Stegostoma tigrinum: one gene and its partner. The protein of the gene in region 2 binds, or shares a complex with, the protein of the main gene of each other region. Links are inferred from orthologs where the notes say so. Each region holds a gene or a part of one and is shown on either strand. Other genes may lie near its edges.

Region 1 (7,326 bases), on a different chromosome or scaffold from region 2:
CAGAGTTCAGGTAGTTGATACAAACGCAATAAGACACTGACAGAATGAGAATTTCAGAGAAATTTTTCCAAACCTGAGTTACTTTTATGCAAGTGCTAATTTACTTACAGATTTTAGAAAACTAGCATGTTATCAGGCTCCTTACTTTTATGGCATTAAATCTGCTTCCTCAATACAGCAAAATTAGACAGCCCAAGAAATATGGATTTATGACTCGACAGCCAGGATAAGGGAGTGGAATTTCATTGTTAAATGACAAGAGTGGATCCAGCAAATAAAAATGAAAACTGTATCAATATGAAAAAGTGACTATAGATGCTAAACTACAAATTAACCCTTTGGTCATGTGCTAAAACTAAAGCTATTAGCCACATGCAAACTGCAAAAGCCAAAATGATTTACGATGTATTCAGTTTCTATTTGCATGCATATCTCAATCTGGGGCAATTAGCTCTGGGAGCAGAAATTTGTTTTAAAAGTTTTCCTTTAAGTACTTATACAGTTTATATGCATTGAGACTAAAGAATTGCAGAATCTCCTGTAGCCATCGACGATTAAGAGAAGCTGCAAACCAAAAATGATCAGGATTTCTCCTACATATTACACTAATTTGCTTTTAATCTAATTAGGCCAATCACAAGTTTATTAAGCATTCAGTATTTTAAAAAGACGCACCCATTTATCTGTTTTAAAAGACTATAATCTTGAGCAAAACTGAGTCCAGATGTACACCCTAAACTGTACGGTCTAAATAAACATCAATAAACATTATTTCACTGAACACCAGCGGACTTTTATAAACTACATAATAATTGTTGTAAATACAATAGTTTTCAGAGACCCAATTTCTAAATTGCGAAAAAGCAATTCTGAAAGCACTATGTCCAGACACATTACTAGGTGTCTATCTGAATTCCTCTCTTCTATCAAAACATATTTCACTCTTAGTTCAGCAATTATTCCATCATGAACCTAAGAATGGCCCAAAATGCATTACAATAATTTCAAAAGAAAGCTATTAACAAAAATAAACTTGCATTGCTAAAGTTGAATTTGCTTAAAAATGATATGTAGATAGAAAATAAAATTCACCAAAACTTTCTCCAACTAATAAGGTCTCACTATTTGCTCATTATTAGAGCAGAAACAAGCAGAGACAACTCTGACTGTAAAACTTCGTCAGGCCCAGTTTGGCAGGTACATTGCAACAGATTTATGATCTGAGTCACAGCACCTGGGCGGGCGATAGGGTGGAGGGAGACACAATATTTAAAGAAGAATAATTGCAACAATTTTCAAAAGCTTTTTTGTTAAACAGTGCTCTGGAAAGTGCCTCCAAACATAAACGAAGCACAAAAACTGGTGGATGAAACAGATACCGAATCAGACAGATAGCTTTCAGGAATACAGGAGGACAGTCTAAATTGGATTTTGTTCAACTGTTCAAGTTCCATTTCATAAAGGGAGAGAGTAAAGAACCAGACATTGGAGGGGTAGTAGGAACTGCAGATGCTGGAAAATCTGAGATAACAAGGTGTAGAGCTGGATGAACACAGCAGGCCAAGCAGCATCAGAGGGGCAGGAAGACTGATGTTTCAGGCCTAGACCCTTCTTCATCGGAGGGTTTGAGCTATAGGAAGAGGCCAAATAGACTGGGGCATTCCCCACCTCCCACCCCCGAGGCTGACAGGTGACCTTTTAAAAGTTTATGAAATCATAAGAGGCATGGATAGGGCAAATAGCCAAGGTCTTTTTTCCAGGGTAGGGGAGTCCAAAACTAGAGGGCACAGGCTTAAGTTGAGAGGGGAAAGATTTAAAAGAACCCGAAGGGCAATTCTTCATTCAGATGGTGATGCGTGTATCAAACAAGCTGCCACAGAAATGGTATCACAGCCAGTAGGAACTGCAGATGTTGGAGAATCCGAGATAACAAGGCATTGAACTGGATGAACACAGCAGGCCAAGCAGCATTATATCAGCAGGAAGGCTGACCGTCAGCCTTCCTGCTCATATGCTGCTGCTTGGCCTGTGGTTTTCATCCAGCTGTACACTTTGTTATGCCAGAGAAACGGTGAAAGTAAATACAATTCCAAAATTTAAGGCATCTCAATGGGTATATGAATACGAGGGATATGGGGCAAATGCTGGCAATGGGACTACATCAGTTTAGAATATCTGGTTGGTGCAGGCGAGTTGGACCAAAGGGTCTGTTTCCATACTGCACAACTCTATGATGCTTTCAGTTTAAAGATATCTTCAGAAAGACTTTCTTGCTATAGAAAAGCAGTTGTACTATATCACTGAACCCCAAATTACCTTTTAAAGGGAATAAAAGTCAATGGGAATGGAAAGCCCTAAGCCAAATGTAGTTCAGACTGAATGGGGTTGGAATACACATTCCTGTTTATCACAGAGATATTAAAAGGGGGAATCTGTCTTACCACGTTTGTCCAACATTTTGGGGGAGATTTGTGGAGGATGGAATGGTGAGTACTGAAATACTAGGAATAAAAGAGTTTTATGGAAGGTTTGGAGGTTGCAGAAAATTTGAGGAGTGGGGATAAGGTTTATGGAAGATGGGAGTTGGGTGAAGGTTATAGAAGATTGGTGGGGGGCATTACGAGGAAGACGATGGGGGCGGAATAAACACGAAAAATTGCGGGGGGAGGGGGCAGAAGAGGAAGCTCCGATTTGACGAGACTCCGCATTTCATAATCGAAGGTATTTAGAGAGGAAAGAGTTTCCACAAGTTCTCGCCCATACAAAGAGGGAGGTGAAGGTGGGGGTAGAAGGGCCAGCCTGACTCAGGGAGACTCCACCCGGGGGAGGAGACGCTTTCACAACTTGTATCCCCGGGCCTTGTGTCGGGCCTTGGGTTGGGTTTTGTCCCGAGGTGGAGGAGAGTCGTGAACCCCAGGCCTGCCAGCGGGAGCGACCGTGCGCCTGCCCTCCCGGAAGTTTCTGGAACCACCCAGAACCTTCCAAGGCCCTGCGGTTGGAGTGACCGCCGGCTCTCCGCGGAAGCTCAGGTCAGGCCACGCCGCAACGACTGTAGGCCCCACCACCAGCCTCGTCCTTTCCTGTTACCTCCACGCCGCCACGGCTACCTTACCTCTAGTTGCAGTCCGCCGAGGCTCCACCGCAACCTTCATGCCATCAGCGCCTGCCGGCCGGCCCGAGCCCCGAGGGGCGGGAGGGAGGGAGAGAAAGAGCGGGCGGGGGGAGGGACTCACACTCCAGCCGCCTGCTCCCCGCCCCGGTCACTGAGGGAGGATCCTCCCGCCTCCACTCAGAGATCGACCGCTCACTGAGATCCCAAATGATTGCCCAACCACTGATCACTCAGTGATCACTTTCCGAATCTTGCCATACACTCTCCAACTGATCTCTCTCATCAATTGATCTCCTTCTTACTGATCTCTCACGGATCTCCCTCACCTTAAACTGTTCTGTCTTATTGATCTGTCTTACTGATCTCCCCTTATGATCGCTACCTCTGTATAACTGACTCTTCCTGATCTCTCTCACCAACTGATTCCTTTCTTACTGATCTCTCTGTAACTGATCTCTCCACTGTAACTGATCTTGTCTTGTTGATTTCTCTTACTAGTCTTTATTTCTCTAACTGATCTCTTTTTAGCAGTGTCCCTCTGAATGAACTCTCCCTTTCCAACTGATGTCTTTCTCTTCACTGATCTCAACCGACAAATAGTGATCCTGCCACACAAAGCAGTTGAGACCATAACATTTAATGTTTTCAAGGAGTTAGATATAGTTCTTCTGGCTATAGGGATCAAAGATAAGGAAAGAAATCAATATCAGAGTTCAGTGTTCGATGATCAGCTGTGAACAGTTGAATGGCAGAACAGGCACACGGGGCTGATTGGCCTACTCTTACTCCTATCTTGTATGTTTCTGTCTCTTTCTGATGTCTTTTTAACTGAACCCTATATTCCACTATTTGATTTTTCTGCACTAACTACAGATTTCTCCAATTATCTTACTGATCTATGTGATTTTGATATCTCTCTCTCCCTCTCTTATCCTTGCTACTGAACTCTTCTTAAACGTGAACTCTGTTCCTAGTGATGACATTCTTACTCGTCACTTCCTCCCTCCCTTTGACTGATCTTCCCCCGCCTTTACCTTTAAATGAACCCTCTCTCTCCTGGTCTCTCTCACTGACCTCACTGATTTCTCTCTCAGTTTCTTAATCCCTCACTGATCTCTTGTGTATCTCCTCCATTTTACTCATCTCCATCTCCCGCTGATTGCTGTCCCGTCTCTACCGTACTCGTTTCTCCTCTCTCTTATTCACCCTCCCCCTCCCCCTCCCTCTTACTGATCCCTCTCTCCGTGTCACTATCCCACTTTCCCTTTAATAAATCTCTCTCTTTCTCACACCATGCTGATGTGTTTTCCCTCTCTCACAACCCCCTTTCACTGATCTCGCACTGTCTCCATTTCAGTGAGTTCTCTCTTCCTCCTATTGATCTCATTCTGCCCGTCACTAAACTGTCCAACCCCACCACTAACCCTTAACCTATCTCCCTCCCTCTACTGACCACTTTCTCTGTGACTGCTTTTGTGCTACCTCTAACTGGTCAATCTCTGTCACTGATCTCTCTATCCCTCTCTTTGTTGCTGATCAATTTCATTCCCTCTTCCCTGATCTCTATCCTATTCACTGATTTCTCTTACTGATTCTCTGTTCCTGATCTGTCTCCCTCTTTTCTGTATCAGTCCCTTTTTACCACTGTTTATGATCCATCCCTCTCTTACCTTGTTTCCCATCTATCCCTCCCTTGCCTTCTTCCTGATCCATCCTTCTGACATTTTGTTCCTGATCTATCCATGTCTCCCCATATTTCTGATCCCTCTGTCATCAAGTTTATTGTCCCTCAGTTACTAATGTGAAATTTTTCTCACACAGGGCCACAAATCTTCAACACTCTGTTGGTGATAAATTAGTGGAAACAGAGTGTTTGAATATTGAACCAAACGCTTACCTTATAGCCAACTGAGCCACCAGCATTCCCCTTTAACAGTAGCAACTGAACTTTAAAACTCATTTGGTTAATACATCTGTTGAATGTGTAACATCGTGAAATATATTGTGCAAGTACAGGTTTTTCTTCTCTGTTGCTAATTTATTTTTCAATCTCACTGGTGTTCCTGGCCCATCCTGCTCTTTCTTATTGATCTTACTGTGCAGGCTTTGCTTAAATTCCAAGCATAAAAAGAACTTGCACAGGATGGCCAAATGAAAAAGGCTGAGGTCTTGTTTAAATGTGAGTGCAAATCAGAATCTGAAAGAAGATTCAATGATGGGTGGCACGATGGCTCAGTGGTTTAGCAATACTGCTCATAACACCAGGGACCTGGATTCAAATTCACCTGCAGGTGAGTGTCTGTGTGGAGTTTGCACATTTCTCCCCAAGTCTGCTGTATTCCCTCTGGGTGCTCCGGTTTCCTCCCAAAGTTCAAAGATGTGCAGTTTAGGTGGATGGGCTGTCTTAAATTACTCATGTTGTTCAGGGATTCTTAGGTTAGGTGGAATTACAGGTCTAGAGTAGAGCTGTGGGTCTGGGTGTGGTGCTGTTGGAGAGTCGGTGTGGACTTTTTGGGCTGAATGGCTGGTTTCCACTGTAAGGATTGTATGATTAATGGAAAATCCTGAATCAGCAGATGGTCCGACACACAATTGTTTGTGTGATCCTATGCATTTGCTGGAGTAGATTGAGTGCAGATGAGCCTTGTTAGTCACCTGCATACCCAATGGAGCCCTACAAGCTCCCAGATGGTGAGCTTCACCTTCTTTGCTTCGAGAGATGAATAACTGATATTGCTAATACGTCAGTTTATTTCTCACTACACTTGTAATCCATTTTGAAATATCATGACACCTAGACTGATGATCAAAGATTGTCTCTTCCTGCATATTTTGAGTTTGTGCAGCAGTACAACACAATAGATCGTCCCTATCTTTGTCAGTAACAGGAGATTAACGATGAATATGACAAAAGCAGTGTTAGCCACGTCCGATGCACAATGATTAAGCTTTACACTATCAGGCATATAATTATTTTTGTAGAAAAATGAATTGCATTTTTGAATAAAATTGCATTTATTTGAAAACCTCATTTCAAAAGGGTTTCAAAGACAAAATTTGTAGAAATATCATTTTTTATTTTATGAAATGGTGATAATTTATTTATGTTATTTTACCTACTATTTATCAAGAACAGACTGAATCCCACGTAAGATAACAAAGTGTGAAGCTGGATGAATACAGCAGGCCAAGCAGCATCTCAGGAGCACAAAAGCTGACATTTCGGGCCTAGACCCTTCATCAGAGAGGGGGATGGGGAGAGGGTTCTGGAATAAATAGGGAGAGCGGGAGGCGGACTGAAGATGGAGAGGAAAGAAGATAGGTGGAGAGGAAAGTATAGGTGGGAAGGTAAGGAGGGGAGCGGTCAGTCCAGGGACGACAGACAGATCAAGGAGGTGGGATGAGGTTAGTAGGTAGGAAATGGAGGTGTGGCTTGAGGTGGGAGGAAGGGATGGGTGAGAGGAAGAACAGGTTAGGGAGGCAGAGACAGGCTGGGCTGGTTTTGGGATGCAGTGGGGGGAGGGGACGAACTGGGCTGGTTTTGGGATGCGGTGGGGGAAGGGGAGATTTTGAAGCTTGTGAAGTCCACATTGATACCGTTGGGCTGCAGAGTTTCAAGCACAATATGAGTTGCTGTTCCTGCAATCTTCAGGTGGCATCATTGTGGCACTGCAGGAGGCCCTTGATGGACATGTCGTCGAAAGAATGGGAGGGGGAGTTAAAATGGTCGTGACTGGGAGGTGCAGTTGTTTATTGTGAACCGAATGGAGGTGTTCTGCGAAGCGGTCCTCAAGCCTCCGCTTGGTTTCCCCAATGTCGAGGAAGCCACAATGGGTATCGTGGATACAATATACCACATTGGCAGATGTGCAGGTGAACCTCTGCTTAATATGGAAAATCATCTTGGGGCTTGGGATGGGGGTGAGGGAGGAGGTGTGGGCACAAGTGTAGCACTTCCTGCGGTTGCAGGGGAAGGTGCCATGTGTGCTGGGGTTGGAGGGTAGTGTGGAGCGAACAAGGGAGTCACGGAGAGAGTAGTCTCTCCGGAAGGCAGGCAAGGGTGGGGATGGAAAAATGTCTTGGGTGGTGGAGTCGGATAGTAGATTCTCCAGCATCTGCAGTTCCCATTATCTCTGAATCCCATGTAATCTAACTCTACTGATCAGTCTACTATGTGGAACTTTGTCAAAGGCAAATCTCTGTAAACAACATCT
Region 2 (7,753 bases):
AAAGATTATGAAGTGATGGACTGGACTTTCCAAGGAGTGGTAATCTCTCAGTGCAAGAAAGAAGGGAACTCTGCATTTCTGAGAGGATGGATGACGGCTTTAGCTTGGTTATGGCTCCACAGTCAGTGGAAGAGGAGGGGAAGTGTCTCACAGGGGCAAGCCGACCGGGTTCAAGCCCGACAGTATGCAGCAGCGGGTATGGGGAATGGGTTCAGAGGCTGGTTGTGGGATCAGGCCGAGGTCTGATGGTGACTGTGACAGGGTCACTCGGGCTTCGGTCTGGTGGTGGTGGTGGGGAGGGCAGAGATCAGGGTCCAGCCGTGGTCATGGGGAGGGGAGGGTTTAACAGCGCCTGGGTTTTAGGGAGTGGGGGTTGTGGGGTGAGTTCAGATCCTACGACATGTGGGTGGGGGGAGCACGGAAGGTGGGTCAGGCCTGGCTGCTGTAGGGCGGCTGGGGGATTTGGACTCAACGGGTCGGGGGAAAGTGTAGTTGTGGTGTCTGAGCTAAGGATCGGATTTTCTCGAATGTCACTCAGGAGTTCAACTATACTTAATAGTCTAACCTTTCCTGAACAGTTATTTTACTTAATTTCGTCTGAACCCTTCAAAGTCTCCGATTTAAACTGAGAATCTCGGATGGGTCCTGGTGTAGAGGTATGACCCAACGGAAAATTCAATTTCCGGGCCATTCCTTCGGGATCTGCTATTATCGGGATTCCGGAAGTTTCCCAGATGCAACTCCAATCTGCCTGGGAATAATGACTGTATAGCCATCAGGAAATCCAGGTCACTACGTAATATACATACTCACCGCCAAACATTTTAAGAAGTGCACAATTTGGGGGGTGGGGATGAGTATCAGCTACAAGATTCACTGCAGGTTCTCATGCAGGCTCCTTCGACAGCACCTTGCAAATCTGAAACCTCCACCCCAGTCCCAAGAATGTGGGCGTGGGAATCCTACTGTCTGGAAGTTTCTCTCCAAGCCACATATGATCCCAGTTTGGGAATGTGTCACTGTTCCCTCAGTGTCGTCGGGGCAAACTCCTGGCACTCCCTTACTAACGACGCCGTAGGTATTGCCGACAGCAGTTCCAGAGGGCAGCTCACCGCTACCTTCTCCAGGGCAATCAGGGATGAACAACAAACATTGGCCCAACCAGTGACGCCCAGGTCCCGCGATCGGAAATTAGAAAAATTATTCTGAAGGGCAACATAGATACACTTATGGTGAAGCCTGAGAGAGACTTTGTAGAGAGAAGTAGCAGGATGCAATGATACAGAGAGATAAAGATGAGTTGAAAAGGGTATAGACACCAGTAAGAACAATACAACAATACATTGTACCCAAATCAATACAGAGCTCTCAGTAACACCCCTTCATTATCTATACCCCTGACTTCCACCAGGTTTGGGGCTGGCGCCAGGCAAACTTCTAGCCTGACTGCTCTGGCGTAAGACGTTATCGGTGCAACAGACAGAACGGCTCAGTGTAAGAGCTGGCGGAGGGAGCTTCACTCTCACAGCCGAAAACTTCAATCCAACGGGATTTACCGCTCGGACAGGATGCAAACAATCGTTGCTAAAACATCACGGTGTGAAGCTGGATGAACGCAGAAGAAGGGTCCCGACCCGAAAACTCATGCCTTCCTGCCCCTGTGATGCTGCTTGGCCCGATGTGTTCATCCAGCTTCACACCGTGTTATCTCAGATTCTCCAGCGCCTGCAGTTCCCGTTATCTCTGTTGCATCCCACGTTTGGTCCGCGACTCCCTCCACTGACCCACTTGTATATGATGTTGGACTGGGGTGGACAAGGTCAGAAATCACACACCAGATTATAGTCCAATTCTAACTCAGTGTCGTGTGATTTCTGACCCTTTGAATATGAAAAAGACAGTAAAATTCAAACAGAGGACCCCATCAGCGTTAAAAGCTTCCCTCCATTTCTGCCTTGCTGTTAATCCGTTCATTGAAGTTGCTTTGGCCTGGGTGTTAGTTGTTCCTTTCTCAGTTTGCCTGGGGTGTCCTATGCACTTCTGTAACTTCCTTACTCCGAGACAAGCAATTCTCCCTGCTACCGCGGTCTCAGCAGAGGTACGTAACAAAAACACACTTTCCCAGTCCCTTCTCTGTGCATCTGTCTCACAAAAATAATGTCCTTCCACCTAGAATACACAGCACTCGCGGGAAAGTGAACCTGAGGATCTGAGCAGAGAGAGGCAGGAATACAAATAGTCAGAGGTCGGGATTATCACTGGTTAGCACTGCAGCCTCACAGCGCCAAGGACCCGGGTTCAATTCCAGACTCGGGCGACTGTCTGTGCGGCGTTTGCACATTCTCCCTGTGTCTGCGTGGGTTTGCTCCAGGTGCGCGGGTTTCCTCCACAGTTCAAACATGTTCAGATTAGGTGGATTGGCCATGCTAAATTGCCCGTACTGTTCAGGGGTGTGTGGGTTATAGGGGGATGGGTCTGGGTGGGATACTTAAAGGGGCGGTGTGAACTTGTTGGGCCGAAGGGCCTGTTTCCACACCGTAGGGAATCGAATCTAATTATCATTGAAAGAGAGGAAAACGGAGACATTAGGTTTGAATGTGTTCAGATATTCTCAAACTAGTGGAAGAAAAATCCAACTTCCGAGTCTTTTTTATAACATCTCCCTAAATCTAAATGCAGCTGCAACACGTTTGTTCAAATGTCAAAAGCACTTGTAACCCTGTTAACTGGGGACGGTCTGAAAGATCGAACCTCCGGGCGAATATAATCGGTATGTGAAGGTTCATTCATCCAGACATTCCCTCCTTCGTTTCTCTTCCATCGCTCCACAGTTCAAACCGGGCTTTCCCTCATAGACAATGTGAAGGTGAGCGAATTAAACAGACCAATCATTCCGTAAGTGAGAAGCAGCCTTTTACCTTGATGAGCAGTCAGAATAAGCAGGAGAGCAGCAAGCCAGCGCTGAGCCATTGGCAGCGGGAACACACTGAGTGATGAGCTGCCTGTTCCGCTCTGAGTTTAATCAGTCCCAATGCCGCCTGCCTCCCCTCGCACCAGTTTTACACACAGCTCCCGCTGACGCGCTTCCCCCTCGCTCCTCAGCCTGACTGGAGCAACGCGTTTCGTTGCTCGTTCGTTTGACACTGTTGCTTTGTTGTTGTGGATTTATTTGCATAACCGTCAGATAGGCGTTAATAATCTCATAAAGTTACCCGAAACTAACATAATGAATTCTTGAGTAAAGAATATTCCCAAGGCATTTACCTGCATTATTGGCTTCTTGTTCCTGTCCCTTTCATCACGGAAATTGGCACCACCTCAAGTGATTATCATTCCTTCTGAATCTCTCAACCTCCCAATACAATCCCCCAGAGTGAAGCTTCTGCCCATTTTACTCTACATCCTGAACCCGAGTCAACATTCAGAGTTCGTCATTTCTCCAACAGGAGAAGCAACTTAATAAAAACCGAGAGAACTGCGGACGCAACTTGTTTAACCTCCTAAGCATTCTAACAGGTCCCGAATCTTCACAGAAGCACAGTCCTGAAGAAGGGTAATAATCGAAAACATTGACTTCTCCCTTCAAATGCTGCCTGGCTTGCCGTGTTCTTCCAGCATCAGGTCTGTCTACCTTGGATTCCAGCATCTAACCATTAAAAAGTAACTAGATACCAAGCCACGTAAGGCAACATTACAGCAGTTCACCCACAGTTTAATCATAGAGTTAAGTGTAAAACTAAAGGCATGAGGATATTGTGAATAGTTTGTCTGGTTATCTCAGGAAATTTTCAAAAGGCTTCCAAGACAGTTCCACGTAAGAGACAAGCATGTAAACCTAAAGCATATGAGACTGGGGTAGTATAATGCCATGGACAGAGAGCTAGCTGGAATAAAGTGAAGAAATAAACTGTTCTTTTTGATGAAGCATGCGGTGACTAATAGCCCACTGCGGGAAATAGTGCTTGACCTCTAATTCACAATATATGTTCATGACTTAGTTGAGAGCATTTTATGATTTGGAGTTGGGGGCCACATGTAGGGTGTCAAAGTTTGCAGATGACATTAAGATGCGTGGCAGAGCAAAGCGTGCAGAGGACTGTGAAACTTTGCAGAGGAACACAGATACATTGAATGAGTGGGCAAAGGTCTGGCAGATGGAATACAATGTAAATAAATGTGAAGTCATACATTTTGGTAGCATAATAGTGAAAGGGATTATTACTTGAATGGTAAAAAGTTGCAGCATGCTGCTATGCAGAGGGACCTGGGTGTCCTTGTGCATGAATCACAGAAGGTTGGTCTGCAGGTACAACAAGTGATTAGGAAGGCAAATGGAATTTTGTCCTTCATTGCTAAAGGGATTGAGTTTAAAAGCAGAGAGGTTATGTTGCAGCTGTACAAGGTGCTGGTGAGGCCACACCTGGAGTACTGCGTGCAGATTTGATTTCCTTACTTGAGAAAGGATGTACTGGCACTGAAGGGGGTGCAGAGGAGGTTCACTAGGTTGATTCCAGAGTTGAGGGGGTTGGTTTATGAGGAGAGACTGATTAGATTGGGATTATATTCATTGGAATTCAGAAGATTGAGGGGGTTCTTATAAAAACATATAAAATTATGAAGGGAATAGATAAGATGGACGTAGGGAGGATGTTTCCACTGGCAGGTGAACCTTGGACAAGAGGGCATAGCCTCAAGATTAGAGAGAGCAGATTTAGGACTGAATTGAGACGGAACTTCTTCACCCAGAGGGTTGTTAATCAATGAAATTCCTTGCCCAGTGTAGTAGTTGGCGTTACTTCAGTAAACATTTTTAAAGCTAAGGTAGATTGTTTTTGAACAATAAAGGAATTAAGAGATACAGTGAGAATGCGGGTAAGTGGATCTGAGTGTGCAAAATGATCATCCATGATCTTATTGAATAGTGGAGCAGGCTCGAAGGGCCGGATGGCCTACTCCTGCTCCTAGTTCTTATGTTCTTCTAAATGTAATCCCTCCAAGTTTGCAGATGACACAAAGTTGGTTGGGAGGGTGAACAGCGCATATTCAGATACTCTGAATCAGGTAGGGAGGCCAAAACTGCGCACAATACTCCAGGTGTGGTTTACAGGCCAAAACACTTGAAATTTAGTCACACTCATACTACAGGCGGCTTGGGCTGGTACGGTGGCTCAGTGGTTAGCACTGCTGCCCCATGGAGCTAGGGACCTAGGTTTGATTACACCCTTCGGCAACTGTCTGTGTGGAGTTTGTACATTCTCCCTGGATTAGCATGGGTTCCTCCAGGTGCTCCGGATTCCTCCCACAGCCCAAGGATGTGCAGGTTAGATGGATTGGCTATGCTAAATTGCCCACAGTGTTCAGGGATGTGTTGGTTAAGCAGATTAATCACAGGAAATGCAGGATCACAAGGATGGGGTGGGTTTGGGTGGAAAGGTCTCCGGGGGTTAGCATGGACACGATGGGCCAAATGGCCTGCTTCCACTGTGTAGGGATTCTATGATTCTATGACACTGGAGTGTGCAGAAGACTCTGAAAGTTTGCAGAGGCATATAGACAGTTTACGTGAGTGGGGAAAGGTCTGGCAGGGGTACAATGCTGATAAATGTGAAGTCATTCATTTTGGTGGGAATAACAATAAAAAGGACTATTATTTAAATGGTAAAAAATTGCAGCATGCTGCTGTGCACAGGGACTTGGATATCCTGGTGCATGAATCGCGGAATGTTGGTTGGCAGGTACAACAGGTAATTAAGAAGACAAATGGAATTTTGTCCTTCATTGCTCGAGGGATGAGGTTTAAAAGCAGGGAAGTTTTGTTGTAACTGTATAGGGTGCTAGTGAGGCCACACCTGGGGTACTGTGTACAGTTTTGGTCTGCTTACTTGTAAAATGATGCACTGGCACTGGAGGGGGTGCAGAGGAGATTCACTAGGTTGATTCTGGAGTTGAGAGTGTTGGCTTATGAGGAGAGGCCAAGTAGACTGGGGTTATATTCATTGAAATTTAGAAGAATGGGGGGCGTATCTTAAAGAAACATGTAAAATCATGAAGGGAATAGAAAAGATAGAATCAGGGAGGTTATTTCCACTTGTGGATGAAACCAGATCAAGCTGTCATAACCTCAGAATTAGGGGGAGCAAATTTAGGACTGAACTGAGAAGGAACTCCTTCTCCCAAACAGTTGTGAATCTGTGGAATTCCCTGCTCAGTGAAGCAGTTGAGGCTTCCTCATTTAATGTTTTTAAATCTAAGATAGATATTTTTTGAAGGAATTAAGGGTTATGGTGAGAGGGTGGGTAAGTGGAACTGAGGCCATGAAAAGATCAGCCAAGATCTTATTGAATGGTGGAGCAGGCTGAAAGGGCCAGATGGCCTACTCCTGCTCCTGTCTCTTATGTTCTCACATAGGAACTGCAGAAACCTCTTTGCACATACCAAAGGCCCACATGAAAATATATGATAATGACCAGATAATCTCACTTTTTAATGATGTTGATTGAGAGATAATTATTAGACAAGACACTGATGATTAAACTAGTTACTATAGTTCACATCAATATTGTTGAAGCTATTTTGAGCCAATGCACATGTAGAGAGGAACACACAAAATTTGGTGGGGTCAGTAAATAGCAATAAGTTTGACTGTGTATTAAGTACAGCGAAAAGACATTGGACTGGATTAAACCCAGGCCAATATGACAAGAAACATGGCCACAGGGCCCATTTAATCATGGAAGAATGTTCAAGTCCATTTCTTGGAGTCGGAGACACTCCTATTATTACTTTGGAGGCAGGAAGGTGCCCATAGACAAGTTTTTAACAAAAAGTTGCTCATGAGATATGAACGTTGCTGGCTAGGCCAACAGTTATTTCTCATCCCCAATTACCCAGAGGACAAGTTAAGAGTCAGTTACATTGCCGTGCCTGGAATCTTGACCACTTTCATTGGGATGTCATTGCATTAGGCTTATTATTAAAGCCAAGAGGCACATTTTATCCCTGAGCCAACCAGAATTTTTTTTCTTAAATTTCAAAAATGTACTTTATTTGTAAGAAATCTCTTTGTATATACACATTGTCACAAAAGCATTTTGGTTGTGTACAGTTGCATATCAAGTAAATAAACAAAACATTAGACTTTGACTTTGTCCAAAACTTCAAATGATGATTCAGGGATTCTTGGGTTTGTTTGTTGCTTTCTGTAGGTGATCCATCTTCCAAAAGCATTTATCAGTCCGATTGAGTGACTCAGCACTGAAAACAGGGATAGTGAATGAAAGCGAACCACCTTGTCCTTCCCACAGTTTATTTTCTGCAAGCTCTATTCCACTTTCAGGCGCTTGAGTGCAGGGATCCACTGCAACAGTTCTTGTAGTGCAGCAGGCATCAGCAATACTGCTGACAATGAAAACTGCTGCTCTCTATTGACCAGCAGCTCTCAGCAGGCGGGATTTCCATCCTCAGAATCCTGAATGCCAGGGAAATCCTGACACCCACCAGTTAAGTGACATTCAGTTGTGCCTCCCAACAGAAGTAATGTGGCTTTCCTATCACTTCTCCAATCAGTAGGCGGGATAAGTATCAGTGACACTAAATTATACCCATTGTGCATAATCTAAAACAGGATATACAAAAGGGGTAGAATTTGTTACAGTTATTCAGGGTGTTGGTGAGGACTGCTATAAAGCGGATGTTGACCCCCCACCCCTCTGAGAACTAAAACCAAAACAGACTCATCCCATAATCTGTAAAA

The links.
Region 1: the proteins of mast/stem cell growth factor receptor Kit-like (region 2) and suppressor of cytokine signaling 6 are in contact, whole or in part, in a crystal structure (PDB 2VIF), measured with the Homo sapiens proteins. The link is inferred for Stegostoma tigrinum from reciprocal best matches to the Homo sapiens genes KIT and SOCS6. Residues at the interface, in NP_000213.1 of Homo sapiens: Asn566, Asn567, Tyr568, Val569, Tyr570, Ile571, Asp572, Pro573, Thr574; in NP_004223.2 of Homo sapiens: Arg391, Glu395, Arg409, Asp410, Ser411, Ser412, Asp413, Ser419, Phe422, Thr428, Leu429, His430, Thr431, Arg432, Phe442, Tyr443, Glu444, Gln445, Val448, His460, Asp464, Ala469, Phe470, Cys471, Tyr472, Ser473, Arg474, Ser475, Arg476, Thr482.

The regions. Positions count from the first base shown.
Region 1 is NC_081358.1:55,565,202-55,572,527, reverse strand, and holds the start of suppressor of cytokine signaling 6, read right to left. Parts: upstream 3,199-7,326; 5' UTR 3,113-3,198; intron 1-3,112. UniProt on the Homo sapiens protein: SOCS family proteins form part of a classical negative feedback system that regulates cytokine signal transduction.
Region 2 is NC_081354.1:108,016,766-108,024,518, reverse strand, and holds the start of mast/stem cell growth factor receptor Kit-like, read right to left. Parts: upstream 3,033-7,753; 5' UTR 2,971-3,032; coding exon 2,919-2,970; intron 1-2,918. UniProt on the Homo sapiens protein: Tyrosine-protein kinase that acts as a cell-surface receptor for the cytokine KITLG/SCF and plays an essential role in the regulation of cell survival and proliferation, hematopoiesis, stem cell maintenance, gametogenesis, mast cell development, migration and function, and in melanogenesis.